Linked DNA regions of Ovis aries. The protein of the gene in region 4 purifies or fractionates together with the protein of the main gene of each other region. This does not show direct contact. Links are inferred from orthologs where the notes say so. Each region holds a gene or a part of one and is shown on either strand. Other genes may lie near its edges. The genes, in order: WDR20, SUGT1, USP1, PHLPP1 and USP46.

The links.
Region 1: the proteins of PHLPP1 (region 4) and WDR20 purify together in Homo sapiens (affinity purification with mass spectrometry; 4 studies listed by BioGRID and IntAct, with this or other methods). This does not show direct contact. The link is inferred for Ovis aries from reciprocal best matches to the Homo sapiens genes PHLPP1 and WDR20.
Region 2: the proteins of PHLPP1 (region 4) and SUGT1 purify together in Homo sapiens (affinity purification with mass spectrometry; 5 studies listed by BioGRID and IntAct, with this or other methods). This does not show direct contact. The link is inferred for Ovis aries from reciprocal best matches to the Homo sapiens genes PHLPP1 and SUGT1.
Region 3: the proteins of PHLPP1 (region 4) and USP1 purify together in Homo sapiens (affinity purification with mass spectrometry; 6 studies listed by BioGRID and IntAct, counting the BioPlex papers as one, with this or other methods). This does not show direct contact. The link is inferred for Ovis aries from reciprocal best matches to the Homo sapiens genes PHLPP1 and USP1.
Region 5: the proteins of PHLPP1 (region 4) and USP46 purify together in Homo sapiens (affinity purification with mass spectrometry; 7 studies listed by BioGRID and IntAct, counting the BioPlex papers as one, with this or other methods). This does not show direct contact. The link is inferred for Ovis aries from reciprocal best matches to the Homo sapiens genes PHLPP1 and USP46.

Annotation. Positions count from the first base shown.
Region 1 is NC_056071.1:64,614,407-64,620,812, forward strand, and holds the start of WDR20 (WD repeat-containing protein 20), read left to right. Parts: upstream 1-2,055; 5' UTR 2,056-2,077; coding exon 2,078-2,326; intron 2,327-6,406. UniProt on the Homo sapiens protein: Regulator of deubiquitinating complexes. Activates deubiquitinating activity of complexes containing USP12. Anchors at the base of the ubiquitin-contacting loop of USP12 and remotely modulates the catalytic center of the enzyme.
Region 2 is NC_056063.1:11,522,335-11,528,674, forward strand, and holds the start of SUGT1 (protein SGT1 homolog), read right to left. Parts: upstream 3,780-6,340; 5' UTR 3,654-3,779; coding exon 3,616-3,653; intron 3,522-3,615; coding exon 3,464-3,521; intron 1-3,463. UniProt on the Homo sapiens protein: May play a role in ubiquitination and subsequent proteasomal degradation of target proteins.
Region 3 is NC_056054.1:37,862,049-37,868,599, forward strand, and holds the start of USP1 (ubiquitin carboxyl-terminal hydrolase 1), read left to right. Parts: upstream 1-2,945; 5' UTR 2,946-3,289; intron 3,290-5,283; 5' UTR 5,284-5,352; coding exon 5,353-5,522; intron 5,523-6,551. UniProt on the Homo sapiens protein: Negative regulator of DNA damage repair which specifically deubiquitinates monoubiquitinated FANCD2. Also involved in PCNA-mediated translesion synthesis (TLS) by deubiquitinating monoubiquitinated PCNA.
Region 4 is NC_056076.1:61,591,703-61,596,859, reverse strand, and holds the end of PHLPP1 (PH domain leucine-rich repeat-containing protein phosphatase 1), read right to left. Parts: intron 4,014-5,157; coding exon 2,901-4,013; 3' UTR 2,012-2,900; downstream 1-2,011. UniProt on the Homo sapiens protein: Protein phosphatase involved in regulation of Akt and PKC signaling.
Region 5 is NC_056059.1:69,050,603-69,056,867, forward strand, and holds the start of USP46 (ubiquitin carboxyl-terminal hydrolase 46), read right to left. Parts: upstream 4,139-6,265; 5' UTR 3,996-4,138; coding exon 3,960-3,995; intron 3,106-3,959; exon of another isoform or gene 2,989-3,105; intron 2,719-2,988; exon of another isoform or gene 1,439-2,718; coding exon of another isoform or gene 1,421-1,438; intron 1,272-1,420; exon of another isoform or gene 1,200-1,271; intron 1-1,199. UniProt on the Homo sapiens protein: Deubiquitinating enzyme that plays a role in behavior, possibly by regulating GABA action. May act by mediating the deubiquitination of GAD1/GAD67.

The DNA.
Region 1 (6,406 bases), on a different chromosome or scaffold from region 4:
TGGGTAAGATTTAGAGGCTAATGAATCTGAGACACAAATCCATGTAAAAATGCCTGGTTTGAAACCGAAAATCAGTCAGGCCCAGTTATATAAATTTGGTGTTATTTATTGAATTCAGTGTGTAGCAGGGTAAATTAAAAGAAGAAAACTATTAAAATTTTCAAAGGATTTGGATGGGACAAAGTGAACAACCTATTATTACTGTGATCACAATCAAATGTTAAATTTATATAGAATAAAACCTTAATAGAAGCCTAAGATTATAGGTATTATTGGTAATTGAAACCTGCTGTTAATTTGAGGGTTAATTTCTGCTAGCTTAGGTTTTTTTTTTTTTTTTCCTCCAAGAAGTACTATTATGCTTTCGCCCCTTGGTAACTAAGGAACACAGTTGAATCATTTTTAGACGATTCAGGATGTCACTATCCTTCAAGAAGATTATACACATTTTCAACGTAAAATAACATGGTTACAGGAAATTGGGATAAATACATGGGACGCAGAATACATTGTGGCATTTATCAAGACTTCTGATGCCTATTCGACTTTTAGCAGAAAACATAATAACATCAAAACAATTGTAACACAAAATTTTAGGTGTTTTAGGAATCCATTCTTTAAGTAGGGTTTTATTCTAGAGCTTTTCTGCCAACATGCACATCGGATACGGGATGTCAGCGTCAAACGCATTATTACATCAGTGACACCGTCTGCACTGGCATCTGCTTGCTTTGTGATACATAAAATGTTTATGATTTAAACTCCTCTTTACAACTTACCTCCCTCTACTTCTTTTGTGACCCTCCATCTATGATTTGTACTGAGGGAACAGAACATTGTTGGTGTAACAAATGTTGGCCTCGCACTCCAACTCCGCGAAGTCTATTAGAATGTTTATCACTTGAGAAACTCTCTTACTCTAATGCAATATGCTAAGAAACCCAAGGATAAAAGGGTGACGGTTTAATCCGCGTGCCTGCTTTACAATTGAGACCTACTACAGCATATCCTGGAGTAAACCATTCTGCAGATTCCACTTGAGCCTGATAAAAAAATCAAGTCTCCCATTTTCTGGAGAGCTCTTAATAAACTTCGGCGCAAGAGAAGGGAATCTTGCTTCGATTCAGTATCTGGTTCCACAAGTCATTTCCCCGACCCGGCCCGACCCCTCCCCTTTTCTCCAAACACCTGTTGGAGATACACTCAAGAAACAAGCGCGGATACAACCTGCTTTCCTGAAATTAGCCAATGCTCACCACAGATAGGTATGCAGATATTTGACTAGCAAACACAGATGCTACATATCTGTATGTCCTCTCCCCGCCAATCCGTTTAAAAAAAGGGGAAAAAAATAAATAAAGATGAAGCGGCAAGCTGAGGTCCTTCAGTACCTTGTCGGAAACGGACTCTGGGAAGCGCAGAGGGGCTTCCCGACTCGCGCATCCAGACGGTCGCGCGGGGCAGCCTAGCGGAGGCTCAGGACAGGGGGGCCCGCCCCCTGCCAGCCTCGGGGCTCCCCCGCGCCCTCCCCTGGCTCAGAACACTGAGGCTTCCGCGCTTGTTCGCGGCGCCCCACGCGCCGACCGCGACTTGCCGGCTGCCGAAGAGGCTCCCTCCTCAGCCCCTAAAGGTCTCGGGACCTCTCAGGGCAGGGCCCGAGGCAACTGAGGAGGCCGTCCCGAGTTTCCCTCCGCGCCGCCGACCGCAGCCCGGGCGCGGCTTCCGCTAGCCGGTTCAGTCCAGCCAGCCCGTCCGCCCCTCCACCCGCTCGTCGACCCCCGCACGCCCCGCACCAGAACACCTGCGCGGCTCCGAGGTCGCGCGGAGGCGGGGGGAGGAGCCTGCGGACGCCCCGTCGCGTGGAGCGCGCCAGGTGAGCACGCCTGCGCAGTCGGGCCGTAAACAAGCCCGCCCCTTCTCCTCGCCGGCCTCCGCGGGGCCAGCTCGCGGGTGGGAGGGGCCAGAAGGAAGGGGCGGGGGCGTGGGGGGAGGGAGGGAAGAGCGAGAGCCCCGGGACGGCGCCTGCGCAGTGGGCGTGATCCGGGCACTTAGGGCAGGATGAACGCTGCTTTCCAAGATGGCGACGGAGGGAGGAGGGAAGGAGATGAACGAGATTAAGACCCAATTCACCACCCGGGAAGGTCTGTACAAGCTGCTGCCGCACTCGGAGTACAGCCGGCCCAACCGGGTGCCCTTCAACTCGCAGGGCTCTAACCCTGTCCGCGTCTCCTTCGTAAACCTCAACGACCAGTCTGGCAACGGCGACCGCCTCTGCTTCAATGTGGGCCGGGAGCTCTACTTCTATATCTACAAGGGGGTCCGCAAGGTACCGACCGGGGCGCCGGCGGGACTTGGCCCCGGCGTGGGCAGAGGCCGGGGGCAGGGCGGTGACAGCGGGGGGCCGGGGTGGCCGCCGCTCTCACTTTGGAGTGGGCCGGTAACTCCACCGGAGTGCTCCTGAGGAAGGGGGGATTCGGGAGGAGGAGGGCGGCGGGGGCGGTGGCGAGGGGCCGCGGGGTGCGGGGCTCGGCCCGGGAGGCCCCCGGGAGCGTGTGGGGCCGGCTGCCGCCCCTCCGGCAGGGTCTGTCAGGTTTTGACACGGCCGGGGAGCCGGGCCTGCGAGTCCCCGGAAGAGGTGGGGTGGCCGTCTGGTCGCGGCTCGGGCCGCCTCGCCTCCCGGGGAGGGTTGCGAGTCCGGCTCTGAGTGAGAGACCAGGGGCGCCTGGGCGCAGGTCTGTAAGGCGGAACCCGGCCGGGAGGCGGAGGACTCGGTCAGAAATGGACCGGCTCGGCACCAAGGGCCGCCTCACCTGCTGCCGCACCGCCACTCACTAGGAGCCTCTTCGGCTGTTAACACTTGGCCGTTTCCAAAAAAAAGAAAAATCATCCGAGGGAGGCCGGCTGTCACTTGTCTCCGCGGAGGGAACCTTCCTCCTGAGAGATTGTTAAGGTAGGGCTCATCTTGTCCCTTACAGTATGGAAAGGGCTGAGGACCACACTTGGGAGTGGAGGAGATGTTTTCAGTGAACTGAGCTGGTTCCTAGGGATGCTGTATGAGCGTGCCCAGATCCATCCTCGTCCAACAAGTCAGACTGTATGTGCCTAGCAAGGGAGGGTATGCCTTAAAAGCTGCTTCACAAGAACCATTATTCTGGGCGGGCGATTTTAACAGTAATTCTCGCAAGCATGTAATCATCCTCTTAAAGTATCTCTTTGAAAGAAGCAACTTATTAGAACTTTTCTTTCATTGGCTACATAACTGTGTTCTCATTGAGAACTGCTTACTTTCGAGATACGCCATCTGGGAGTTGACTCTTGGAAAAATGAGGAAATTAATGCCCCTGCCGTCCCCGCCAGCACCTGGGCGTGGGAAAAGGTGTTAACAGATTAATTTATAAATGGTCAGTTAGTGTGAAAATAAATTGTATGTATTGAAGGGTGAACGTTTCCCCGGATATACTGTATCCAGAAGCAGTGGGTTTTTGCTTGGTTACAAGATCTAGGAATGTGGCAGTGGTATCTCGGTGGAGCAGGTTGTCTCATTTGTTCCAGGTGAGCCTGCCTGTTAGTGTTTGCGCTAAGTGTACTTCTGTGTTTGAGGTATCCTGTTATAAATTACTGGAGGTAAATCGCTTGACTTTGTTCTCTTGTAGAATTGGAGAAGTCTGAAGTAGTTAGTAGTCTAGGAGTTGAAGTTTTTAGTCCTGCCCTCAACTTTGTCACTGACTTGTTGGGTGACCTTTGACGAGTTACTTAACTTCCATCTGCAGCTCTTTAAAAGAGTATTTCAGTACAGCTGTTGTGATTTTTAGTGTTATGACTATAATGAACTTTAAAGGCCCGAAACATTCAGTAGATGTAAAATACAGTTCAAATAAGTGTCAAGAGCATCTGTCAAACAGGAGCGTTTATCTTAACATTGATGCAGTGACTGAAAGGATCAGCTTTTTCTCTGAAAATAAGTTTAGAATTTTAAGTTATTAAATTGATTTACAAAAAATTTTTTAAGTGCCTAAAAGCTAAATATATTAAGTTACTAGTGTAGACATTACCTTAAAAAATTTTTTTTTTCTTTTAAAGTATACTATTTCTGAAGCATTCTAGTGGCAAGCTGTATCTGTACCTGGTAGCTCTGGTTTGCATCATAAAAATAGGTCTCTTGCCTGGAAGTATCATAATGGTGCCTACTTGTAGTCCTGCTCAATGAAGGATGAATTAGGAGATCTTTTCAAAACTACACAAAAAATTATTTTAAACAAGACAAATCTTAAACATGTAAATTTGCCTTCAGCTGTGTAATTTACTTGAGCACATTAACTTTTCTGTAAAATTTCATTTTCATGTGGTAATATCTTATAGATACATTTGCATTATATGTTGGACATTTAAGCTCTTTTCTGGCCACTGTAATTTTTTTTAAAAAGCATGTCCATGAATGAGTTTGCATTTATTTTTATTTCTGAGTATAAGTGATTGTTTTTATGACTCTGTTTCTGATTTTAAAATATGGCAGATTCTTTTCCTTAATTAAAAACCTTAATTAAAGGTGGATTAAACCTTAATTTAAAAACTTCAGATTTTACTTTTTGGGGTTAGGAGTTATAAATCTGTTTTTGACATTTCGTTGTTTTGACTCTTTAAAAATTTTTTCTTTGGGGCATATAAAGTTTTACAACAGTTAATCAGATCATTTACATAATTTAGAAGATTTAAATTGGATGAATACATTCAACTTAAATCTGACTGGATCTTTTATGTTATTAAAGTATAGTTGGTTTATAGTATAATATTAGTTTCAGGTGTAAGGCGTAGTGATTCAGTATTTTTACAGATGATGCTCCATTAAAAGTATAAGATAATGGCTGTAATTCCCTGTGCCATACAGTATATTCTTGTTTCCTGTTTATTTTATGCATCGTTTGTATCTCTCATCCTGTACCCATAACTCGCTCCTTCCACCTTCCCTCTTCCCTTTGGTAACTGCTAGTTTGTTTTATCTGTGAGTCTGTTTATGTTTTACATAGATGTTTGTTTGTATTATTTTTTAGATTCCACATATAATATGTGATGTCATACAACATTTGTCTCTTTCTGACTTACGTCAACAAGTGTAATATTCCCTAGGTCCATGCACACTGCTGCAAAACTGGGTCTTTTAAAAACCTTAAATTGTGAACTCTGTACTGTCATTCCTGAAAGCAGGGGTGGAGTCCTGGAGAGAGAGAGTAGATGAGGAGGTAGTCAAAGACCTAAGCTGAGGAGTGTGATCTTGGCCTCTTGAAAACACAGGTCAGTTGCTAGAGCTGAAAGGGACCTTCAGTTTATGGAGTCTCACCCCTTTGGAGAAAGCCAAGGCTAGAGAGGATGTGCAAACTGTGAATCAGTTTTTTTTCTTGAGGTAAAGAATTCATGACAAAGAAGCACAACTGAATCTAAGCAGCTGTCTCAGTGAGAAGAGACCAATCTAGCTTTTTGGTTGCACAGATAACCGTATACTTCAAGCTTTTCAGAATTTACCCCAGCATTTTGCCCTGTGTAAGCTTATTGAATCTTGCAATCCTGTTAGGTAAATGAAGCGTCATTTCTTTTTGGAACCAAAGTTCCGAGTAGGGTTTCTTGTGTGAAAACATCTAGTTTTATAAATTTATTTTGTTGAACTAAAAATAATATGGACACTGATTTAATACTGAGGGTAAACTCATTGTTTCAGCAAAGATTTAAGCGACTACTATGATGATAATTCTACTCGGCACGGTAATGTGGGATACCCAAAGACAAGTGAGACCCTACCCTTCTCCCCAAGAATTTTCAGCTACTAGCTTTCTTTATGGCATTCTTTGGTTTCTTTTTTTAAAAAAGAGGTTTTAGGATACAGATGCCAAGGTACTGGGCTTGTTGTACCAACTCTGATTTTATGGAGATCTGTTTTAGCATAAATGAGAATGCCACCACTCAGATCCCTACTTAAGCATCACTTCTCAGCATATCCTTCTTTGAATTCCCAGTCTAGATCAGTTTTCCCCATCATATGTTTTTATAGCATCCTATACTTTGTCTTTCTAGAACTTTTCTCAATTTGTAATTCTCTATCTCTTCTAGAAACAAAGCTCTCTTAGAATAGGATGTCTTTCTGTTTTCTCTGCCGTCCTACATGAAGTAGACCCCTGCAGTTAAATTTGTTGAGTGAATGACTGGGAAAAGTGTCCATGTCCATCTATGTCCTACTTTAAAAAGATCTTTAGTGACTTCCCTAGTAGTCAAGTGGTTAAGAATATGCCTGGCAATGCAGGGGCCCTGGGTTCAATCCCTGGTCCAGGAACTAAGATCCCACATGAACTGGAGCAACTTAGCCTTCGTGCCACAACTAGAGAGAAGCCCATGCACAGCAACAGAGGATCCTGCGTGT
Region 2 (6,340 bases), on a different chromosome or scaffold from region 4:
TACACCTGAGTGCCTACCACATCGCAGGCACTACACTTAGAAGACAGTGGTAACCAGGTACACAAAACCCCTGCTCCCCTGAAGCTTACATTGGGGCCTCATTCAGATAAAGGAGTCAGAAAAGAGGTTCCTTGAGGTGACATTTCAGCTGAAATCTAAAGTGACAAGCATTTCTAACCACAACAATAAACAGTCAACAGAGAGGACATTCTAGGCAAAAGAACTGCTTCAAGTCCAAAGGCCCTGCACCAGGCCTGAGTCCGACACACCTGAGTAACAGAAAGAGAGCCAGTGGGGTGAAAACCTAGAAAGCAAGGCTCTCCAAGATGCCTACCTCAAGGGCCTCACCCTTGGACCTTACATTACTTGTCATTATAATCATCCTTTCCAGTGGTCCCAGTTAGTCCCATTTTACAGACAGGAAGTCTGATCAAGAAGAGTGATGGCCAGAACTTTCCTGAAACCAAGATATGGTAGACCCAAGCAGTCTGATTCCAGAGCCAGTGCTCTTAAGTACCACTCATGTTGGGCCTCAAAAGATCCTTATAATCCACAGAAACGTTTTCTCTCTCTGCTGAATTGAGACTTCCTCTGCAAAGATTTATTTTTTTACTTCCCCAGTTGGCCTCTATTTTACTGTACCTTATACACCACTCCACTAGAGCATTTATCTTATATTCTAATGACCTGCTGACTTGCCTCTCTCTCCTCTAGACTGCAAACTCCCTCACTACAGTATTTTCATCTTTAGATTGCTGGCTCCCAGTACAGCCTTCTACACCAATATACATTGTTTAATGAAACATGTAATCAGCTTGATACACTTTTTCTTTATTCTTAATAGGATGGTGTTGTATAAAAATGTGACATTTTACCTGCTATAATATCTAGTGACCTTAATTTCAAAACAGTTACTTTTAACCAGCCCTTGGGGAAAGCGAAGGGGAAACTGACTCTTTTCATCAAGGTTCCTGCCCTACTCATTATTACCAATTATCTAGTAATTAACATTCACCTGTTTAACGCAGTGAGAAGATCATCTCAAGATTAAAAAAAGGACATTTCCTCTTAACACAGGCTGGTTCTTATCATGACCATCCTCCCGACTCTGGGTTTCGGACTCAGGTCCATGGCAGGTCCTGAGAATTCACATTTCTAACAGACTTCCAGGTGATGCTCCTGCAGAGGGTCTGGGGTAACACGTGGAAACCACAACAGCACCAGACTGGGAGCAGGAGTCTCCTGTCCTCGGGCCCCTGTCCTGCCTCTCCCTGGCTGTCCACACCTGCCTGATAGCTCATCTGCATTTCCTTGGGCCTGTTTCCTGCTGTAAAAAGGAAGGGTAAGGGGTACCAGCCTACAGGAGCCATAACTACATTCAGAAAATCTGCAGCGGGGAATTCCCTGGGGTCTTCACTTCCGCTCCAGCAGGTATGGGTTCCATTCCTGGCTGGGGAACTAAGATGCCACATCACGTACTGCCCACCCCCCTAAGAGGAAAGAAAAAGAAAATCTGAGGGAGGGGGCATCCGAGAATTTGCATTTCTAAGGAATTCCTCAGTGATGCTAACGCTGCTGGTCCAAGAACCACACTTTAAGGACAAATGTACTAAAGCTAACCACACACCTATAATATGCAAATTCACTCCTAGAAAGAAAAAAAAAATTGCACTCTTAAAAGAAAGGAGTGCATGTGTTCAGCAAAACACATGTATAAGAAAATTCACAGCGGTTTTATTCATACTAGCTAACAACTAGAAATATCCCAAATGTCCACTGTTAAACAGTGCTATATTAATACAGCGAAATACTACACAGCAATGAAAAAGAATTATCCCGTCCCATAAACTTATGGATGTATCTCACATAATGTTTAAAGCAAGAGAGAGTAGCTACACTCAATTAAGTATGACGCTGTTTGATACTGTATGATACTGTTTGTATGAAGTCCAGGGAAAACTAATTGATGGTGATGGAGTTCAGAACAGATGGGTAAGAGGAATTATTGGCTGGGAAGAAACTTTAGATTTGTGTTACATACCACACGTCAATACATAATTTTAAATGTAAAATAAGTCAGATGTAAAATGACAAAGAATCCAGTATATTAATATTTTTTAATAGTAACTATTATATAAACTAGATTTCCAAAGGAGGCACAGGGCCTAAGAGGACCATACAAATGTAGACTCTGAAAACAGATACTGAGCTGAAATAAGGAACTGTAGAGAAAAATTCAGTGCCTCTGGTAACATTATTCTAACAGTGACCCCAGAAGAATCACTAGAAAACATCCCAGCACAGGAGTAATCAACCGCTTCATTTTAAGGTCTTCATATCCCAACCCCCCAAAAAACATAGCTCAAGCTACAGATAAAAGGCACCGATGGATTCGGCCCCGGCTTCCTTTCCACCTCCTCTCACTCCGTCCATCCCACTCTAACCAAACTGGGCTTTCTTGCTGCTCCCTGTTTAGGCCAACTTCACTCCTACTTTAGGATCTTGACACTGGCTCCTCTTCCTGCCTGAAATAATCCTTCCGCAGGGCTTCCAAGCTCGCTCCCTCGTGCCTCTTCTCAAATGTCACCTCCTCTACTAACCATGAGTCAACTTCTTTCAGAAATCACAGCCAAGAGAAAGGTTCTCTTGCCTCAAATCCCCAACCTTACATCTGTTAGATTAGAACAGCAAAACAAAGTCTCCTCTCTTTTTAAGCTTCAAAACAAGAAACCCCTGGCTGATTTTGAGACCCACTGCATCACGTATAAGCTTGGGCTCTCTGTGTTACTTCAAATTATTACTTAACTCACTCTTTCGGTTTCCTTTACAGCTTTATAGCCTTTCACTGCACACAAAGTGCTTTGTAAGTCATTTAACTGTATAAATTAAGACTTTAATCCATAGCAACCAATGCCTTCCACACAGCAGCGCCCCCCCCCCCAAGAAACTGTTTTGAGAAATAAAACAAACGAGTGAATAATGAACAGAAATAGGGACGCCTGGAAATTTTCAGGCACACAAGGGGAGAAGGTTTCTGTCCTCGTGGTGTGAGTTCAGACAGGCACTCAGCACCTGGTACTTAAAAATAATCAAGGATGACCGCCAAACGAAAACCCGAATGAACAAACATCGAACTGAGATTTCACTTTTTGTTCTAGTCACAAATGCCATTAAAAAAACCCACAAGCCCCTTAAGGCCACGATGCAGGTTAACTCTACCCCTAAGACAGAAGAAGGTTACGTACGCTACGGAGCTCCAAGGATGCATAAAGGGACCAGGGGTGGAAAGGGGACACGACGAAGGATCTAATGTAACCAGGCCGCCGCGGGGCAGAAAAAGAAGGGGCGGAGGCTGTCAACATCGGAGGTTGACCCAAAGGAGAAGCAGCGGCCCCGACCCCCGGAAGACAGAGCCGGGAGGAAGCCGACGCGACCGCCTGCCCCGGGGCAAAGGCTGTCTCACCTCTAACGCCGCCTGGGGGTCCTGCTCGATGAGGGCATCTGAGAAACTCCGGAACAACCTGCCAGGAAAAGAACGACTTCAAGAAGGGCTCACGAACCAAAGAAAGGGGCGGGGGGATGCCAATTACACCAAAGAGAAGGAAAGACACGCACCTCGCGGCTGCCGCAGGGCCCGCCGCCGCCGCCGCCATCTCTAATCGTCAGGGTTCCCGCTGCCGGAGCCGCTCTTCCCGGGGTTACCAGCGCCGCCACCGCCGCCGCCCAAGGGGGAAACTTCTGGAGAATCACCCACCGAGCTTCCGTCCTAAGTAGCCAACGAGCAGCCGCGCAGCGTGCTGAAGGGAGGAGGGAGAGGAGGCGAAACGCGGGCGCGGGGCGGGCTGGGACCTTGGAGGACCGACTCTCCGGACCCCGCCCCCCCGGCCGCTGACCGACCGCGCAGGCCCCGCCCCACCGCAGCCATGGTTACGGAGGCCGCGGCGGGCCACGCTCGCCCTCGGTCCTAGTGCTCGCACGCACTACCCGAGAGCCTCCGCGCGCGGTAACTCAGTAGGACCCTTGGACCATACAGTTACCCTCAGGAACCTGTGGTGTTTGGGAGACGTTTGTACGTTTGTCAATTACACACGGCACGTCGAGCTCCATTTTCCCCTATGGCTCTCATCATGGCTCCCCAGAGGCAGCCATGGCTTTCGCGACCCGTGACGCTCTCGGCTACGTGTTCTTTTCCGGGAGCCACTTCCGGAGGGTGGCCCGTTGACGCCGGGATCCTGGCGCCGGGAGCCCTGAGGGCCTCGGGCTCGCTGGGAGTCGCTTTGCCCTCACAATGGCTAGACTGGAGTTAACGCCTTTTGATTCCGGTTCGGGCGGACCGCGCGGTTCCCCAGAACTTCACAGGCTGAGGCTTTCTCCCCACTTGACTTCCAGACACAAGAAAAATGTGTTCGATCCGAAGGCGCTGAAGGGAGAAAGGGAGCCTGAAGTTTTTCTCAGTGCCGCTCTACTTTCCACTCAGCGGGTCCGACCCTCCTCCCTCAGTGCCCCTCGACCCGTGCAATTCCAACAGAAGAAACTTAGAGCTAACTCCACCGCGGCGGGAGCCGGGGAGCAGGAAGGCGTGGGAGTGAGCCGCTCGTTCATAGAGACGAACAAGGAACTGAACTGGAGTATCTGCTCCATCCGAAATCTAAACTTAAAAAGTCCGGGGATTCAGTGGTGGTAACACCCTCCAGTTTTGTTCTAAAGGCTAAAAATGAAAGGGCCGTAGTCATTGATGTGATAGCAAGAAGGGACACAACTGAATATAATGTATACGGATGGAGTCCTCATAGGTTGTAAAACTGAGCCTCAGTCTGGTAAGAAGACTAATTAGTGGAAGGAAAGGGAAAAGGCAATTCAGACAGAATAGGATGCGTGTTAGAAAGTGATGATGTGAACTCAAATTGTAGAGCCAAAATTCAAGCTAGAAGCAGACTGGAGAGGTAGGTACATGCTAGGTCATAAGGACTAGGTGTACTCCGCTGAGAAGTTTGAATGGAATTCACTTAAAGATGCTAAACCATTATAGGATTGTTACTCGAAAAAGGCATTAACGGTTAAATTTACATTTTTGTTTGTTATTCTGTCTGTACTATGGAAGACACACGACTGGACAACAACAATAGAAGAATGATTAAAGGGAACAGAACAGTTGTTGGGAGACAACTGCTGTACCGCAGGCCAATGTGTGCTCACTGCTCAGTGGGGTTTGACTGTTTACATCGCCAGGGACTGTAGCCGTCCAGTCTCCTCTGTCCATGAAATTTCCCAGACAAGGCTGGAGTGGGTTGTCACTGCCTTCTCCAAAGGATCTTCCCCACCCAGGGATCGAACCCAGGGCTCCTACACTGGGAGGTGGATTCTTCACCCCTGAACCAAAATGTCTCTTAAATAGGTCAGTGATTGTAGGGTGTGGTGAGAATAACAGAAATAATTGAAGTAAAACTGGATTTGCTGATCTTTCTTTTTTGTGATCGATTCTCTCTGTGTCATACATAAGGTTTTGCCTGCTTCAAAACCGTGAAATTAGTTACCTGTGTTTTCTTAAATGCTTTACATTTTTACCTTTCACAGCCAGATTTATTCATTTTTATAAAAGGTTTGAAGTCAGGATCAAAATTCCCCTCCCCCCACCTCTATGGATATCCAATTGACCCAGACCTATTTCCTGAAAAGACTGTCATTTGCTCTTTCCCCCAGTAAATATTTATGGCACGATTGTTGTAAAGTAGATAACCAGATATATGAGGGTCTATTTCCAGGTTCTCATGCCATTGGTCTGCCTAACCGTGTCCCACACTATCTTAATTAATGTAGCTTTATAAGTCTTAAAGCCCTATAACTTTTTCAATATTGCCATGGTAATCTTGGCTAGTCAAAGTCCCTTGTATTTATATTATTTTATATATTTTATAAAACATTTCCATTTGATTGTAAATTTTAGAATGAACCTGTCAATTTCCAAAAAAACAATTATAAAAACTCTACTAGGATTTTAATTGACCTTACATTGGATCTATAGATCAATTTATTTGGGGAAAACTGACATCCTAGTATTTTTTAAAATTGAAATATAGTTAATTATGGCGTCATGTTACTTTCTGTTGTACACAGGTGATTCAGATAGATAAATATTCCTTATTTTTCCCTCCTCCACTTTCCTCTTTGGTAACCATAAGTTTGTTTTCTATGTCTGTCAGTATCTGCTTTTTAAATAAGGTCATTTGTATCATATTTTAGATTCCACATATAAGTGATGCCATATGATATTTGTCTTTGCCTGACTTCACTTAGTAGAGTAATCTATGTAGACCTGTCCATACTGCCGCAAAAAAAAAAT
Region 3 (6,551 bases), on a different chromosome or scaffold from region 4:
TGCTGGGAGAAATATCAATAACTTCAGATATGCAGATGACATCACCCTTATGGCAGAAAGTGAAGAGGAACTAAAAAGCCTCTTGATGAAACTGAAAGAGGAGAGTGAAAAAGCTGGTTTAAAGCTCAACATTCAGAAAACGAAGATCATGGCATCTAGTCCCATCACTTCATGGGAAATAGATGGGGAAACAGTGGAAACAGTGTCAGACTTTATTTTTGTGGGCTCCAAAATCACTGCAGATGGTGACTGCAGCCATGAAATTAAAAGAGGCTTACTCCTTGGAAGAAAAGTTATGACCAACCTAGATAGTATATTCAAAAGCAGAGACATTACTTTGCCGACTAAGGTCTGTCTAGTCAAGGCTATGGTTTTTCCCCTGGTCACGTATGGATGTGAGAGTTGGACTGTGAAAAAGGCTGAGCGCTGAAGAATTAATGGTTTTGAACTGTGGTGTTCGAGAAGACTCTTGAGAGTCTCTTGGACTGCAAGGAGATCCAATCAGTCCATTCTGAAGGAGATCAGCCCTGGGATTTCTTTGGAAGGAATACTAAAGCTGAAACTCCAGTACTTTGGCCACCTCATGCGAAGAGTTGACTCATTGGAAAAGACTCTGATGCTGGGGGGGATTGGGGGCAGGAGGAGAAGGGGACGACAGAGGATGAGATGGCTGGATGGCATCACGGACTCTATGGACGTGAGTCTGAGTGAACTCTGGGAGTTGGTGATGGACAGGGAGGCCTGGCGAGCTGCGATTCATGGGGTCGCAAAGAACTGGACACAACTGAGCAACTGAACTGAACTGAACTACAAACAAGGCTAATATTACAAAGAGTCGGACAGAACTTAGCAACTGAACAACCACCACCAACATTCTAGAAGATTTCTTAAAGTCCTGTGGATTTAAACACTATTTGGTGACTCTCAAATTTGTATCTCCTAATCACAATGCTCTATGGACCCCCAAACTTGAAATCTGTTGGCTCAGTATGACGTTTCAATCTTTATGTCTAAGAAAAACCACCCCTCCCACCACACCCACTATTACCTCAATGCTTTCCATTTTAGCCAGGACAACCACTATCCTATCACTTTGGTTTAAAAGAAACAAAAAACCACTTTGTCTTTTTCTTACTTATCAGCAGATCCCATTGGCTTTACTTCAAAATATATTCTAAATCCTACTCATTCTCAACATTTCCACTGCTACCACTTTCTAATTTATTAGATGGTGCGAATCTAATTTATTCCCTGGGTGATCTTCTACCTTGCACTTTAGAAAGTTAACAGTCTACCACCACAAGCAGCCATTTTTAGATTATCCACCTCCAAGCTCAAAAACATCAAATGGCTCCCATCTCCCTACCCTGCTTAATAAGAGTCCTGACCATGTCACTAATCTCATTTCCCAGTCATTAAAACCAGGCTAAGTGTGCTCTAAGCACCCTGCCTTCCTTGCTTCCTCCCAAAACACCAAGCACATGAACCCTGAGGACTTTTGAAACTTGCCCTTCTCCCTGCCTGGACCATTCACCCTCAGGTTCTTCCCAGGCTGGCTGCGCTTTCAGTTAGCTCTCTACTCAAATGTCAAGACTAATATTATTACCCAAAGGAGCACACTCCTTATTTCCTTGTAACTCACGTCAGGTAAAGAATGCCTGCACATACTGGGCACCTAAAAACACGCTTGGTTAAATGAATTTGGATTGTACTTATTCACTACACTTGCTTTGTGAGGTATCTCACCGAGGTAGGCGTACAACAGACAGCAGCAGAAACCCGGTAAGGCCTGCCTTGCCGTTTTTGAGCGCGTTAGTAAGGACTGGCGCAGGATCCCCTTGCAGCTCCGTCAGCCAGAGCTGGGTCTTAAGAACGCTCTTTCGTTTTCTTGTCCAGTCAGGAAGGGGAACGGGTAAGCAAGAGGAAAAAGCGCAGAGGGGCTGAAAAGGGAGTCTCAACTTTGTAGTATTCAGTTGAGAGAGAATCTACTATTATTTCCTGCGGCGCTTGTTTTTACTGGATGGCCTAGGACCTGGGGCTGCGATTTGATACAGAAAACCCAAGCGCAACGGACTAAGCAAGGTAGTCGGCCATTTTCAGAAACTAATCTCCGGGTAACTCCGCCCAGCAGTGTACGCAGGAAACGGGGGCGGAATTTATTGTGGGCCTAGCTCCGGAAACCACACCCTAGCGGGCGCCCCACCTTCGAGGATTCACGAAACTCAGAGCGAAATTTAACAGTCCGCAGCGAAAGCGCGCACTCGAGAGCCAATGAGAGTCCAAGGAAGGGAACAGCGCCTGAGGAACACTCTGTATATCAAAAAATGATTGGCTGGACTCCTCCTCTCTTCTTTTTGGTATTGGCTGAACTGCTTTTCCCCACCTACCCAGTCCGCTTTTTTGCCTAGGTACTTCTGATTGGCTCCTCCTGGGCGGCGGGTGGGCAGGGTTGGGGATTGTCATCACGGATTGGTGGATTTGAGCACCTGGCGGTTCCTTCCAGAGCAAGGAGCCCGTCCCATCTTCTCTCTGTCCCGTCTCCCGACCCGTACGCTTTCCCCCCAGCTCTCGCGCACGAATGGTTAAAAAAAAAAAAGGGCGAGGCGGGGGCGAGGGGGGGGGCGGGGTGTGTGTGTGAAGCTCGAGCGCGCCAGCCAGGCCTCTAGCTCCCAGCGCGCGCCCTCAGCGAGGACCCGCGCGAGCTGCCCGTGACGCTGCCTGCGCTGTTTGAAACTGCAGAACCCGTTAAGATCTTGGGGCAACTACCGTTCCAGCTGGTTCAGGAGTCCGGGCGTGCCAGAGGGGCGAGTGGCGGTCGCGAGGCGGCTCTGGCCTTTCGCGTCTCTGCAGCGTGGAGACTAGAACCGGCACTTTCGAAGGACGCCGCCTCCAATCGCGGCGCTGGCGCGGGCGGAGGCTAAAACACGGGGGTCCTGAGACAGAGGAAAACGCGCCAAGTTCCCGTCGGTGGTGGAGTGAGGAAGACCCTAGCGGTTCGGGCGCCCGGCTAGCGGAGCCGCTTCTGGCGCTCCTTGCCGTCCCGGGGCGGGGGCGGGCGCGGGAGGGCGCCGCTCCGGGGATGTAGTTGGTGCCCGCGCCAGGCAGGACCGAGCTGCAGCCCGGGTTCCCGCTCTTGAGAGCGAATGGTCACTTCCCCCGGGGAGGGCGATCGGGTCAGCTTTTCTGAGGGTCGGGGGCCCGGGGCAGGGGCTCACCTGTCGCACCCGCACTCAGCGGGGTTGGACTCGCCGGCGTCACCGCCGCGGACCTCGCTCTGGGCCATGACCAGGTAAGGAGGGCCCGTGGAGGAGGGGCCGGTTCCCGGGCGCCGCGTCAAGTTCGGCCGTCGCCCAAGGGGGCCGCGGGGAGGACCCCCGGCTCCTTGGGTTGCCGCGTCCCCGCCCAGCTGCCAGCCGAGCCCTCCACTCAACGGGCCGTGCCCCTTCCAGCCGGCGCTGGGGACTCCGGCAGGTGCGGGCCGGGCGTAAATAGGCCAGCTCCGCGGGCGAGGGGCCGGGCGTTATGGTTTTGCTCTCAGACGCCTCCCGCCCGGTGCCCGCCGCGTCTGACGGGCACGGACAGCAACACCGACCGTCATCGCCTCAGTTTCTCTTCCGTTCCTACAGTTTGCGGGGTGGGGACAAGAAATGTTTGCACTCACGTTGTTCTTGTCGGTGATTGCTAAATTTTACCGCGCAGTTTAACTTTTAGATGTTCTACAAGTTTTTAGAACGCCACGTGTCTTAAACCTTTGTCGAGGATGTTATCCTAGTTTTACATTTTTCGTGAAAAGTTAAGAATTGAGTTGTGCCATATTAGAGGAAAGAACCTGAAACTAATGGGACTTCGTGTTCACACTGTCATTTGGCCAAGAACATTTAATGTTCGATATATTGTGTTTTCTGCGAAACTTGATTTAGATAAACATTTTTGACGTAACTCCCAGTGATAGGACAGCCAGGAGCAAGAAGTGGTATAGCTTAAGATACGGCACCTGGTAAACTGTGACACAGTCTAGGTAGGGCTAATGTTTAATCATTGCTTTGAGGAGCCCTGAGGATTGGTTTATTGATTAGGATTGATAGTTATTTTAGCTGCTGGGTCGTTTTTTGTTGTTAAGTCCGATTACTCTCAGAGAATGCAGTTTCCATCGTTTATTAGAATTGGCTCCTAAGAACAACCTTTTACAAGAATCACAAGTTATGCTTAGGGATCCCTGACACTGTAGTGCAGGCTAGTTTACCATTAGTGATAGCATTTCATACGAATAAATTGAGTTGGAGTGTGGAAATTGGTTTGCTTTCTAGGTATTCTGAGATGTCTCAAAAAAAGGGGCATGTTTCACTGCTGAGTTTATTGTTGTAAATTCCCACCTCACAGGCAGCCAAGTGAAATGCTTAAGGGTGTGAGTTTAGTTCATCCTTTACCTATATTTGAAAGTCATTGCTGAGCTTTTGGACTCTTAACTGATTTTCTGGTAATAGATAATTATTCCTAATATCTTCCTAATGAAAAACAGGACTGAAGTGTAAAATGACTACCACAAATACAACCTTTTTTTTTTTAATCCAAGTTTTATTATAAAACAGGGAAGAAAGTTTGCACAAGGGAAGCTTTTCTTTTTTCCTACTTAAAGCAGTATTTTAATTCTGTAGTTAGAAAAAGTTTGTAAAGTCAGTATATTTCGGTTTCTAGTGCATAAGAATTTGATATACACAAAATATAGCAGTTTTTTACACCATTATCTCAACTTCGAATAGTTTATTACACAAGTTTTTAGGTGTAAACACTAGGTGTAGGCCTTTTCTTGTATGTAGATTATACTTTAAGTAGATTATTTCATATAACTAGAAGAGACTTTGGAAGAAGAACTCAAGTCACTTCTAGCACTCCTTTGATTTCCCATTCATCCTTTTTCCCACCTTGGTAAAAAAGCTCAGTGTTTTCTGGATGAACTAATAGATGATAAAGTTTTTTACCCTTTAATGATAATACTTTACCACACATCTCTTACTAAAGTGGAGTATTTTGTGATGCTCCCCTTAAATCTAATAGCAGGCTAATAAAAGTTCAGTATCATGACTTTTTGTTGTTTAAGAGTTAAGGACAAATGGCAGCTTGTTCATTTAAGCAGTAAACATTGACTGCCTCTTATTGGTGGGCATTAGATTTTCCAATACAAAGTTCTAATTAGTACCATTTCTTGGTAAATTTGTTTTCAGAAATGATTTTATTGCCTGCAGTTGGTAACTGAAAACTAATAACCTTTTCTCTGATTAACAGGTATGACTGGTGATTACAAGATCCCTGTATAAGTTAATTCCTGTCAACTGCTTGGAATTTGAGGAGAAAATGCCTGGTGTCATACCTAGTGAAAGTAATGGGCTTTCAAGAGGTAGTCCATCCAAAAAAAACAGACTTTCCTTGAAGTTTTTTCAGAAAAAGGAAACCAAGAGAGCCTTGGATTTCACAGATTCTCAAGAAAATGAAGAAAAGACTTCTGAATATAAAGGGTCTGAAATGTATGTATGTTATTTTTAGCATTTTTCTGTACTTTTAAAAATTCTGTATCAGTAAAAAAGCAGGGAACTTGGTTTGATTTCTACAATCATTCTGACCTGATAGTCCATAGAGGCACATAAAAAAACACACATTAGTGAGACAAGTCTAGCAGTATATAGTAGAAACTAGATAAAACTGCTGGTTCCCCACAGAGATCACATCACAGTTAATATTATAACTCACTGAAATTGTGTTTGTCCAGTTACACTAACTTAGAGAAGTATTTGTTGATTAAAATTATTTTTCAATTTAAACCTGATTGTAATGCAACATGTTTTAAGTAAGGGTAAAGAAATTTGTGATGGTCTTTTGGTTCGGAAGACCTGACAGTTACCTGAGATGCACTTTGTAGTCCTACCTAGTACATGAATTCTCAAACCTATAAGATATGCTTTTGATGCAATAAATCCTTCAGTGATTGAAAAGAAATCAGAACAGAATGATATTCTTTGTTTCACCAATAGTGTTCTAGTTGGAGTCTACACTTGCTCTAAATTCAGCACACAGTCACTCTGCTATATGACTAATGTATATTTGGTTCTCTGTGTAACTTCCTAGTATTGGTATTTTCCAATAATCAGTTTAGGAGATTATGTGTAAACCTCTTGTTTACCGGATTCATGCCTACAAACACCTAAAGGTATTAAGAATAATAGCCAGCAGCTGTAAAATAAATAAAAATGCTGCGAAGACTGTTTGTTAAAATGAGGTTAAAGAATTATAAACTTGAACAATTCATTTTTAAGTGGGGGACAGCTGTATAAGTATCTTCATAGACTTGGTTTCCTCTTAATCTTTTATTAACAGAATCTGACTTAGTGCAGCCTCTCCCAAATATCGTCATAATCCCAGGATTCTGTTCAGAGTTAAACTACTTGATTAAAATGTCATGTTGGCTGAACAAATCATAGTACCACTTCTGCAGTTTTCTACTTTGTAAAGTGGGATTAGCAGTCCTTTAGTGGAATTGTTTGAAGCTTGTTGGCTGT
Region 4 (5,157 bases):
GGGAATCTCCAAATACGAAACGCTTTCCAGCTTTATGAGCACCTCTACATACGGTACATTAGATGCTACCTCGGTGAGCTGCCCTGGTGGCTCAGGGGGTACTGAATCCGCCTGCAACGCAGGAGACCTGGGTTCGATCCCTGTGTCGGGACGATCCCCTGGAGGAAGTCGTGGCAACTCACTCCAGTGCTCTTGCCTGGGGAATCCCATGGATGAGGAAGGAGCCTGGGGGCTTTCAGTCCATGGGGTTGCAGAGGACACAACGGAGCGACTTCACTTCCACCTCAGTGGGCCGCAGTGAAGGCCCCTCAGGCGGCTCCGGGGAAGAGCAAGGAGGCCGAGCAGGAGCCCTGCGTCCACAGGCCTCTTTCACTCACTATTGGCCCCACGCTCCCCAAGGGCGAAGTCTTGTCCTTCGTCTCCAGGGACCCTTACGTGGGCTGAGTGGACAGTGGGACTTGCTGGGATAATGAACCAGAAGCAAGCGTGCCCTGAGCTGCAGGTCTTGGGGAACCAGCCAGGCCCGTGCTGCCGCCCCGTCAGCTGCAGAGGTCCCCTCCGGGGACCCCCAGGTCACGGTGCCTCTGCTGGCCCTGCTCAGGGCGGAAGTGGGCTTCTCGGGGGGTGAGCTGTGGGAGGATGGGGTCCACACAGTCTGTCTGGGGCGGGGGCCACAGAAGGCGACTGACGAGCCCGCCCGCAGAGGGTGCCACACCGAGGAGTCAGAGCGTGCCTGGAACTTCCGGAGGGACTGAGGCACGAGGTGAGAACGCTGAGCCTCCCGGGTCCGCTCAGATCCGCCCGGAGCAGTGGGAAGACTGGCAGGCACTGGTGAGCGGGTGGGGTGCAGGGTTCCAACCCGGCCTTGCTCCGGGCTTAGAGCGGAGCCCTGCCTAGGTTCCACCCTCGGTCACTGATCCCTCGTGGGGCTGCGTGTGTGCCAAGTCGACCCGCTTCAGGCATGTCTGACTCTTTGTGACCCATGGGCTGTGGCCCGCCAGACTCCTCTGTCCATGGGATCCTCCAGGTTAGAACGCTGGCGTGGGTTGCCATGCCCTCCTCCAGGGGGTCTTCCCGACCCAGGGATGGAGCCCAGGTCTCCATGTCTCCTGCGTGGCAGGTGGGCCCTGGGAAGCCACGCTGATGGGGCCGAGATGAGCTCAGTCCTTCCACCGCCTCAGTGGTTTGCACAGCGCACAAGGAGCCCGCCACGGAGTGAAGAGCGGACATCACCAAGACAAGGAGCGGCCCACTCCTCTGGCTGCCCAGAGAGGGGTGGACGGTGGACAGCCCGCTGCAGAGCCTACAAGAGAGACTAGTTGCTGCGTCCTGTCACTGAACCTGCCAGGCGCCCCTCTGGAGGGCAGACCTAAAGAAGGGAAACCACTCTACCTGGAAAGCTGGTCCACTTGAGACCCAGCGGAGACCCAGAGCATCTCCCACACACGGGTCTCAGATGCAGAGTGGGACGGTGCCATCTGTAAGTGGGGCCAGGCAGCCAGCAGGAGTGTGGGACCCCCGAGGGCCCCACAGCACACTCGCTGCTCCCAGGAGGGGTGGGGAGTGCAGCAGTCAGCTCTGGATTTCCACTTTGTCTGTGCACCGTTAATCAGCTACACTCCAATATAAAAAAGATCAACTGTATCCAATTAAAAAAAAAGATTAACTGGTTCACATGATTGAGGGGCCCCTGAGAGAAAGGGAAACAAACTTGGCTTTGTGGGATTTTCCTGGGATCTCCTCTATGCAACCTTATCCCCCTTTTAATATCTCCTCTACACAGTAACAACCAGAAATGGAAATGCTGTAAACCAGCTACACATATTGCTAACTACAGGCTGGATGTCACTACCTTCATTCAAGGTAGTTTAACTTGTTATTTTCTCTTCAAAAGAAAAAAATCAAAGACGGAAGCACCAGATAACCCCAGAGCTCATTCCAAACCCAAGCCGCGCGTGATCATCTGTTAGACACACCTGGCTTCCCGGACAAAAGCAGATGGGTCCAGGACTCGTAAATTCCGTATTTATTATACCAAAATTACGACATGTGCGTTTGTGCATCTTGCTTTAATGTAACTCTCGGTATGTAAAGGATCTATCACCCATGCATGCTGACGGCGGCAGCGGTAAGGAACACAGCTGAAAAGTGTCTGCAAAAGGGGCTGGGCGGGAACAGGAGAGGAGGAGGAGAGGGGCAGCAGCCCCTGGGGGGCAGGTCCCTTCCAGCGGCTCAGGGCCCCTCACCTGAAGGCAGTGCCCTCAGCAGGGCTCGGGCGCACCACGGGGGACCGTGTGGGTGTGGGGACGGAGGGGAGCCAGCCGTTCAGTCTGCGTCCCTCGCGCCAAAGCTACACCACTTCTGAAGCATCACTATACAACATGGAGCTATTTACAATAGAAATTTCTCAATCAACGGTTCTCTCAGAGAAAATTAGTGACTCCCAGTGACTTCAGTCACCCGGCAGAGTGAACAACTCCTAGGAGTTAGTCTCCATTCTCTACAGACGCCTATCGTCTTCAAGACAAAGCGAGGAACCCAGAACAGCAGAAAACAAGAAAACGCCTCCCCCAGGAAGAAACACAGAATCACAATCTTACTAAGTCATTTAGCCCTGGCAACCTGCCTTGCCTTCCACACACAGAGAACAAAAAAGCCATTTAAAAAACATTACATTACCGCTAACGGTTTCTCTGTAATATATTAAACCTTTTGTTTTTCGTCTTTACACATCTGATACGTTAGGGGAAGAGGTTAACAAATTGAAATCATATGGGTAGAGCATCACTTGAAGAGAAGTGGTAATTATTATTTTTTTTGAACAGCCAACAGAAGGGGCGCCTGCGGCCGCGGAGGCGCCTTTGGCCGCGGAGGCGCCTTTGGCCGCGGGCCCCGGGCCGTCAGAGCGGCGTGTCGCAGCGGCAGTCCGCCGGCTCCGCGGGGCCCGGGCGCGGCGGCGCGGGCGGCCGCTGCCTCATCATCTCCTTCACCTCCTCTTCCAGCTCCGGGGGGATGATGAGCTGGTCGTCGGGGTCCGGCTGCGCCGGGGCCGCGAAGTAGCCGCCCGGCCTGCGCAGCGGCGCGTCGGCGGCCACCTCGATCGCATTGTGGCTGCGCTCCTGGGGGGCCACGGAGCCGTTTCCCCGCCGGCGCCCCATGGTCCCCGCGGCCCCGTCCGCGCGCCGCGCCGCGCCCGGCTCGTCCTCGGCGGCGCCCGCGCCCTCGGCGGCGGCCTCGGGCGGCGGGCCGGGTGCGGGCGGCCGCCGGAGCTCCCCGTCCCTGGCGCGGCCACAGTGGATGTCCACCGCCACCTCCACGCGGCTGCCGTTGCTGAACACGCCCTCGATGGGCTCCTCATCGTCGCTGTCCAGCCCGTTGTCCGAGAAGGCGCTGGAGAAGGTGGCGCTGGACAGCTGCCGCTGGAAGGCGCCAGGCGCGCCCCCGGGGTGCAGCGCACAGCGGGGCTCGCCGGGGCCAGCGGGGCTGCCCTCGACCAGCACGCCCGGTGGCGGCGGCTCGTCCGAGGCCGTGGAGCCCACCTCGCTGCTCATTTCCGATGTGGACAGCTCGCTGCTCATCTCAGAGGTCAGCCCGCTGCTGGAGGAGGGCGCGCCCAGCCCGTCGGCCGGCCGCTCCCGGACAGCCATGCCTGCAGCGGGCGCGAAGACGCTGGGGCTGGGCGGCGGCAAGGCAGCCAGCTCACAGCAGCAGAAGCTGTCCTCGGGAACGCTGAGCTGCACGACCACCGCACTCACACTCTCGCGGCAGCCGTAGCTCTGCGCCAGGGTGCAGAGCTTCTTGGCGGCGGCCAGCGCGTCAGGCACGCTGCGCACGGCGCCCACGGCCTCCTCCACAGACAGGCTGTCCCACAGCCCCTTGCTGCCCAGGATGAAGAACTCGTCCTGCGGGCTCAAGGCCACCGACTGCACGTGCGGGCGGGGCACCACGCTGGGGTGCAGGAAGGTGTAGCCCAGGATGCGCGTGGACTCAGTCACTCCGTTCACTTTGCCGTCCTGGAAAGAGAGGGGTTGCCAAGCAGACGTTACCACCGAGAGTTGGGGGCGGGGCTCCTGCCTGGGGGAAGCTCCTGGGCCTGCCTGTCCGCCTCCTGTGAGGGGCTCCCGGCCACCTGTCATCAGAACCTGGGGACGGCAGGGAGCAGGAGGGACACGTGGAAAGCGCTTCATGCCTTCCCTGTGCTGGGACCTGTCCGTTCCAAAGCACACCGTCATCTGGCTGAGTCAGCAACACGGTCTGATCAGCATCTCTGGGAACGCACAGGGGTCCGGGGGAAGGGCCTGCTGAGCCACCCGGGGGGGCGGCAGACCCTCCCAGGCAGGTACCATTCAGAGTGATGGCCCTCATCTGAGACCACTGCCCACAGCTCAGCAACCAGCAGGTGTGGGGAGGTCCAGAAGCGGGCAGAGTTTTAAACTGAAGGAGGCTGAAACAAATTGCTGGGGAGATCCCAGTGAGACTAGGTAGGGAGAAGTGAAGTGTTTGGAGAGGCAGACACTTATTCAAGGAGAAAGGCGGCTTCTATAATTCCTGAGCTGACTTTGCTGGCAGCAAATGGAGACGGTGATGCCTCCCGCTTCAGTCCAGCTGGGTGCCCACCATCTGAACCATGAACCAAAGTTTCAGACCGTTTGCCAGTAAAAAGCTTTTACTCTGCGGCTGAAGCGAGGAGCCCTGGTATAACTGCTTGGTTCTTGATTCTTCAAGTTCTTCTGCAGAAACGGTTAATCTCTGCACCATGTGCTGTTGAGCACGGGACTCAATGCACAGTTAACAGTGTAACTCGGTCCCATCTGAGACTCTTCGCTCCCTACATGGCGTCTAGTGTCCACTTCAGTCCTCTCTGCTCTCAGAACAGGAGGGGCCTGGGGTCGAGAGGAAGACTCCTTTCCCAGACTCCCACGGTAGGTCCTGAGTTGTCTTCCTCACGGCCCTGGGCGAGCCTTCCTGGAGTCAGTCTCTCTCTACTGACTGCAGACCTCCACCACTGTCCACCTGGACATCACACGGCTCCTCGGGCTTTACTGACAAGCGAGACTGGACACCTCCTGTGGGCAGACAAGGGAATCACGTCGACAGCACCTATCCGTTTCAGGCACACAGAGGTGACCCCCACTGCAGGGTGAGCGTGTGAACAGA
Region 5 (6,265 bases), on a different chromosome or scaffold from region 4:
CCTGGTAAATTCAACATAGTTTCAAACAAAGTAGTTAAGAACTACTACTCACTAAGGAAGTTTCTGACAACCAAATGTATATACACATTAGTTCTACAAGTTGAGAAAGAAACTACGGTCCCAAGAAACACAACAATTTGTTCAATGGCACCATTAGACTGAAGCTTAGCTGGAGAGACACCCAATAGCATAGATTTCAGTTCTAAGCTCTTCTGACTACAATCATAGAAAATAAAAGAATCAAACTCGAATCAAATGCAAATTAAAGAAACATCCTGCTGTGATCACCAGTTTACTGTCCTGCTTCTGAGATTTTGCTCAATCTTGATCCATGTGGATAACCCACTGTATTCAGATAGTTTCATCTTTACCAATGTTATGCCCACAAGATAAGAAACCATTGAGCTCCTTGGGGACAGCGACTCACCTCGATCAATTACACACCTGCACATAATATGTGCCGACACTAACACAGAGATCCTCAACAGATGGCCATTTCCAGGCACAAAACGTAATCTATTTGACACACGGCATTCCTTTCACGGAATATTTTACAGCACTATTCACAAATGAAATTAAGATTTGATGATTTAGGCCAATCTGCATCCATACAAGTCACATTTCTAGAGGGCACATTTGGTTTCTACTAACAAATGCTTCCTCTTTAGAAAATTCCTCAGGCTTTTCAAATAGAAAATCTACCCCCCAAAAACCTTTCACTTACAAAAGTTAAACCCATTAGCCTGGCCAAAATCAGAAGACTATCAACAAGGGACATTTCCTCATGCTTGGTAGCAGCTAATACATTTAAAAAATTACAACATACCAGCCAAACAAGCTTTACTATCTCTGAAGCAGACACGCTGTGTAGCTAAGGTGACAAGCCCTCAGCAAGCTGATCAAGAATCACTATGGCAGGAATTCACACGAAGTGAAATTAAGACAAACGGGAACTCGCATTAAACTGCCAATGGACAATAAAACCTCGGGGGTAGAAGACAAGTAGAGGGATGGGAGTATTTTCCACGACCCCTGTACCTAAAACTGGCACAAGAAGTGTGGGGAAAAGAGAAGGTGTTTATTTCTCAATCACACAAGGATTTGCAACAAGGTTTTTCCTGCTCTGCTGCGTCCTTTCTTGTCTGCTGGATGAAACAAATCCAGACTCAGTACTAGGTCCTGGTTTGCACAAGCCTTACCTAGAAGGATGTATCTTCTATCACTGTTTCTGTGACACACATCAGCCTGTTTAAAATATGCCAGATGACCTGCTTTTAAAAAAAAAAAAAAGACGCAACTGTCAACTGTCACTTCTTACTACAACTCCATTTGGTCCCAATGGAGTTTGGGACTGGGAAGGATCAGTTAGAGCCCCCCAGAGAGAAAAGAAGTGGTGAGGAGAGACCCACAGAAGACCTACCTGGAAACAATTCATCATTGAGTGAAGAATCTTAAGCGAGGTCCAATGAAACTGTATGTCTGAACAAGTGAAAAGACAGCAGTCTCATCACCCAGCCTCCTCTGTGGGAAGCAAGACTGGGAGGGACCAGGGCACCAGAGCAGCCTTTTATAAGGGGGCGGGATTAAGGACTCCCACCCCAGTCTCCCTGTATGGGCTTGGTTTGCATAAACAAACATTTATCTTAGCATTTATCTTAGCAGCTGCTTACATCAGGTCCAAGAAGACACTGTCCTTTAAACAACTGAAGATGACATAATAATGAGAAAGATGAAGCTGATCAGCAACACGTGATACTCAGTAAGTACTTGCTACCTAGTAGGCTCAGTAACTCCTTTAATACAACAGTCGCATGAGGAGGAACCATTATCATCCCCTTCTTGTAGATTAGGAAAGTAGGAGAGCAACTGGTTCTGGGACAAAAAACTAGCATATGTTCGAACCAAAACCCTGAACCCAGGAAGTCTGACTTTAGAGCCCAGACTCTTTATGTCCCTTACTCTAGGCACAGGGTCTATATCGGAATGTACAACTCCCGAGTTGTGAATTATTGGTTCCTCATCTCACTTGGGTGATGATCCTAAGTTTGGTGCCTTTTTAAGGACTTCACATGAGATGTCAATTCTCCACAGCCCACTCCTCTCGTCTGCCCTGCAGCTTGCCTCTCTAGCTGAGTTTTGTTGGAAACAGGTTGTGACATTCTGCTCAGGTGTGCCAAGAAGCCCCAGCTGCACTGAGGGCAGAAAAGGAAAAAAGCTGGAGGCTGGCTTCATCTTGGCACACGCTAGCTCTCAAGTTTCCAGCCTGCTTCAGTACAGAGGTGTCACCACAAACAAGCAGGGCAGGAACACCACCACCGACGGCTCCACTGCCCTGTAAGCCCAAAGCCACCAGAGCAGGCACGAAAGAGTGTTAGAGTTGCTCTGGTTTCACAGTTCCCCTCAGGAGCTGGTCTTAGCAGACAGAGAAACCGGGAAGAGAGGCATCACCTTTTCACTGCACCAAGCAACATTAATGCCATTCGACAGGAGGGAGCAGGGGGCCTGTCTCCGCATGGAGAAGAGAGGAAATGGAAACCGGCCAGGAGCCACCCACCACGTCTAACTGGTCCTGAGCCAGTATTTTTGCAGCTGTCACCCCGGGAAGGCCCAGCTTTTGCTCTGCCCACCACAGCAGTAGCCACGTCCAACAGCGCTGAAAACTGAAGCCAGCGCCAGTGGGTCTTGATTCCATCCCTGAGTAACACATGGCTCCTTAATGCTCCTTTCCCATGTGTTAATCTTGCAGGAGAATATGGGACAGAAGATTTGAAAAGCTGGGTGATGGGGGAAGGGCAGCCAGATCACCTTACTCCCAGGCTTTTCAATCAAGCCTCCTCAGATTCCCTTTAGCGGCCTGTGTTACTAGCTTGAGAGGTTTCCCCAAACTGGTATTAAAAGAGCATGTGTTCCATCCAGCTGGAGGAAGGGGAGACAGGATGGGGGTGGGGTGGGGGGTTGGTCCTTGGACAGCCAAGGCAAAGCACACACCCTCTCATCGTGCACAGGAAGGCAGTGCCTCACTCCAGGGGGCAAGCCTTGGTCCCCAAGGCTCTGACAAGTGGAAGTACCAGCAGGAGGCACCCTTGAGACCCAAGGGCTGGAGGTTGTTCCTGCAGAAGGCAAAGCAATGGGAGAAATACAAGTTAAAGTGATCACGATGTCGTGGGCCCCGTCCTCACCAGAGCCCAGCAATGTCCTCTTGCTGCGTCCACACCCACCGGTCCACACTTGGGTCTACAGTGACAGGCAGGATAACCCTGGAGACCTCCTCCATGCCCCCCAGACGGCCTGCATCCTCAGGACCTTTAAATGTCACTGCCTTATGACCTTGTTCCCCTTTCACAGATGGGGAAACTGAGGCATCCACAACAAATGACCGTGCTTTCCCAAACCAGGTATAAGTTCACTTCCCTGACCACAATTTTGCACTTTTTTTTACAGCTCTATCACATTTCAGATTTCTCCAGACACACCGACTGCCTCTGCAAAGTGAATCTTAAATACAGTTTAAAAGAGTGAACTCAAAAATCAGATAAGGGCGGTCAGGGTGTCCGGCAGGGCTTTATCTTCGGCAAGAACATGGTGGGCGTCCCCCGCGACCCCAGCTTCTCCAACCTGGTCCCCCGGGACGTCCGGGTTCGGCCTACCTCCTCCCCCCAAGACGCTTCACCGCAACCCGAGGGCGGAGGCGCAGCGGCTCAGGGACGCGCGGGCGGGCGGGCTCCCGGGTCTCGGGGCCGAGAAGGGGGCGGGGGGCTCCGGGCCCCTCCCCCGACAGCTCTCCGGGCCGCGACCGGCCCGCCCAGCCCGGGGGCCGGGAACTTCTGGCGGCGCCGCACGGCCCCCGCCGCCCCCACCCCCACCGGCCGCTCGGCGGGCGTGCAGCTCGGGTTTCCCATTCTTCGCCTCCCCACGCCTGGGGCTCGACCCTCGAGGCGGCGGCGGCGGCGACCACTCACCATATTACAGATGGAGGCGATGTTTCGGACAGTCATTAGTCTAAAGGTTACAGCGATCCCGCACCGCCATCTTTACAAGGGGAAAACAGGACCGGCCATGGTGGAGCGCTCGCGGGGAGGCCGGGCGCGGCGGCGGCGGCGGCGGGGAGGCGGCCTGGGGTCCGGCTTTCAGTTTGGCTGGGAGAAGGGAGGCCGGGAGGGAGGAGAGGAGGCGGGGAGGGCGGGGAAGGCGGGAGGCGGGCGGGAGAGCGGAGGGGCGGGGAGTGGCGGAGCGAGGGAGCCTGGGCCGCGGCCGGCGGCGCCGGGAGGAGGGGCGGCCCGAGCGCCGCGTGCAACCCGCACGCCCCGAGCGCTCCCGCCGCGCTCCGGCCCCGACCCGGCCCGGGTCCCCGCGGCTCCTCCTCCCGCCTCCGCCGGCCGCCCCGGCTCGGCTTTCCTCTTTTTTCTCTCTCGGCGTCCTGCTTCACTCCGAACCGGCTGGAAAGCGCGGCCAGGCCCCGGCTCGCGCAGCTGCAGCCGGTCCCCCGGGCGGACCCGTCCGCGCCGGCGGCCTCCTCCGCCCAGCTCCGGCCCGCGGCGCCGCCCGGGAAGCGAGACCGAGCCCTCGCTGGGTGTCGGCCGCCGGAAGGCGCAGCGCGCGGGCTGGGGACTCGCGGCCGCTTTCTGTCTTCACTTGTTCTTTCTGGCCGCGCGGCCCGCAGCAGCCCCGCGTTTTCACGTTCCGGCGAGTGGAGGAGGCAAGGGGCAGGGGTGACTACGTCCAACTTTTCGTTTGTCCCTGGGTTTCCAGCTAGATGGCACCAGCGGGGACCCACGAAGTAAATGGGGTCAGGACACGGCAGTGCCGAGAGCCCTTGGCCTGCCGGGTCGAGGGCGCCGGGAGGGGACGGGAGCGTGGGCCGAGGCGCGCTTGGGCAGTGGGTGACAGCAGCAGGTACAAAGGGGAAGTCTCAGTACTGGATAAGGACTAGGGATGGTCCAGGGAGCGATGGAACCTGGAAAGAATGAAAAACAAACTTTTCCGCGTCTTCTAGAAAAACCTACTTCACTCGGGGCCACCCAGCTTCTTCAGGTTTGGAGGGTCATTGTATTGGCTCATACACATTTCCTGCATACACAGTCGTGGTTTTTAACTCAAAGCGCGAATCTACACCACTTAGCAGTTACATTCTGTGAAGTGGAGGAGCCCATTTCCGAAGGTGTAAAACAGTTCTCATACAAAGTTGCAGTTTTATGCTTTCAACAGAGAAGTTGTACGAGGGAAACGCCTGACAGTTCTTAAACCCATATATTTAATGACAAATCGAATTAGAGGAGAAATTAATGAAATTGAAGATAGCTTTTATCTAACCAAGAGGAACATACTGGGAAAATAGCTCACTTCCTGTCCTCCATTATCTATTTAGTGTTAATGCTCTTTAGTAGTTGAAGACCATTGATTGTTAATGTCCCTAGGACCTGGGATGGAAATAAGACAACGGAGACAAAGTTTCGTTGGGGGTCATCTTGGCTCTGGATATTTAATGGATTTCCAGACATCAATTCCTGCTTAAGTTATTCTGCCTACATCTTATTTCCAAACAGATCCTGATAATGATGGTAGCTCACTTTGACTTTTTACCATTGTCAGTCATGATGCTCTTTACATTCATGACCTTGGTCACCGCCAAACCCATCGGATGACGGATCCTATTATAATCGCCTTTTGTAGGTCAGTTAAAAAAAAGCTTAGGATACCAAGCATCCTATTTCCATCATGTTACCCATATGTTACAACTGAAGCTGGGGTGCTAATCTGGCTGAGCACCTTGAAGACAAGAAAACAAAACACCCAACCTATGGCCAGTTAGGGTAACTGACACCTGGGTGAATGTGCCTGCTCAGTGGCTCAATCACATTCCACTCTTTTGCGACCCCATGAACTGTAGCCCTCCAAGCTCCTCTGTCCATGGGATTCTCCAGGTAAGAATACTGGAGTGGGTTGCCATTTCCTCCTCCAGAGGATCTTCCCCACCCAGGGACTGAACCCGTGTCTTTTGCATTTCCTGCATTGGCAGGCAGATTCTTTACCACCGTGCCACCTGGGAAGCCCACAACTGACCTATAAAGGTTTAAAATATTATACTTGAGGAAAGTCATAAAACAAGTTCAGGAGCAACCTCAAGGCTAGAACTTAGGACTCAAATTTCACAGACATTCCACTGTAAAAGCATTAATACAAAACCTTAAATAATACAGAAATTTTATACCATAATAGAGTTCAGAATTTCTGCCATTAGTATAGCATAATGGATGGCAAAGTCCAC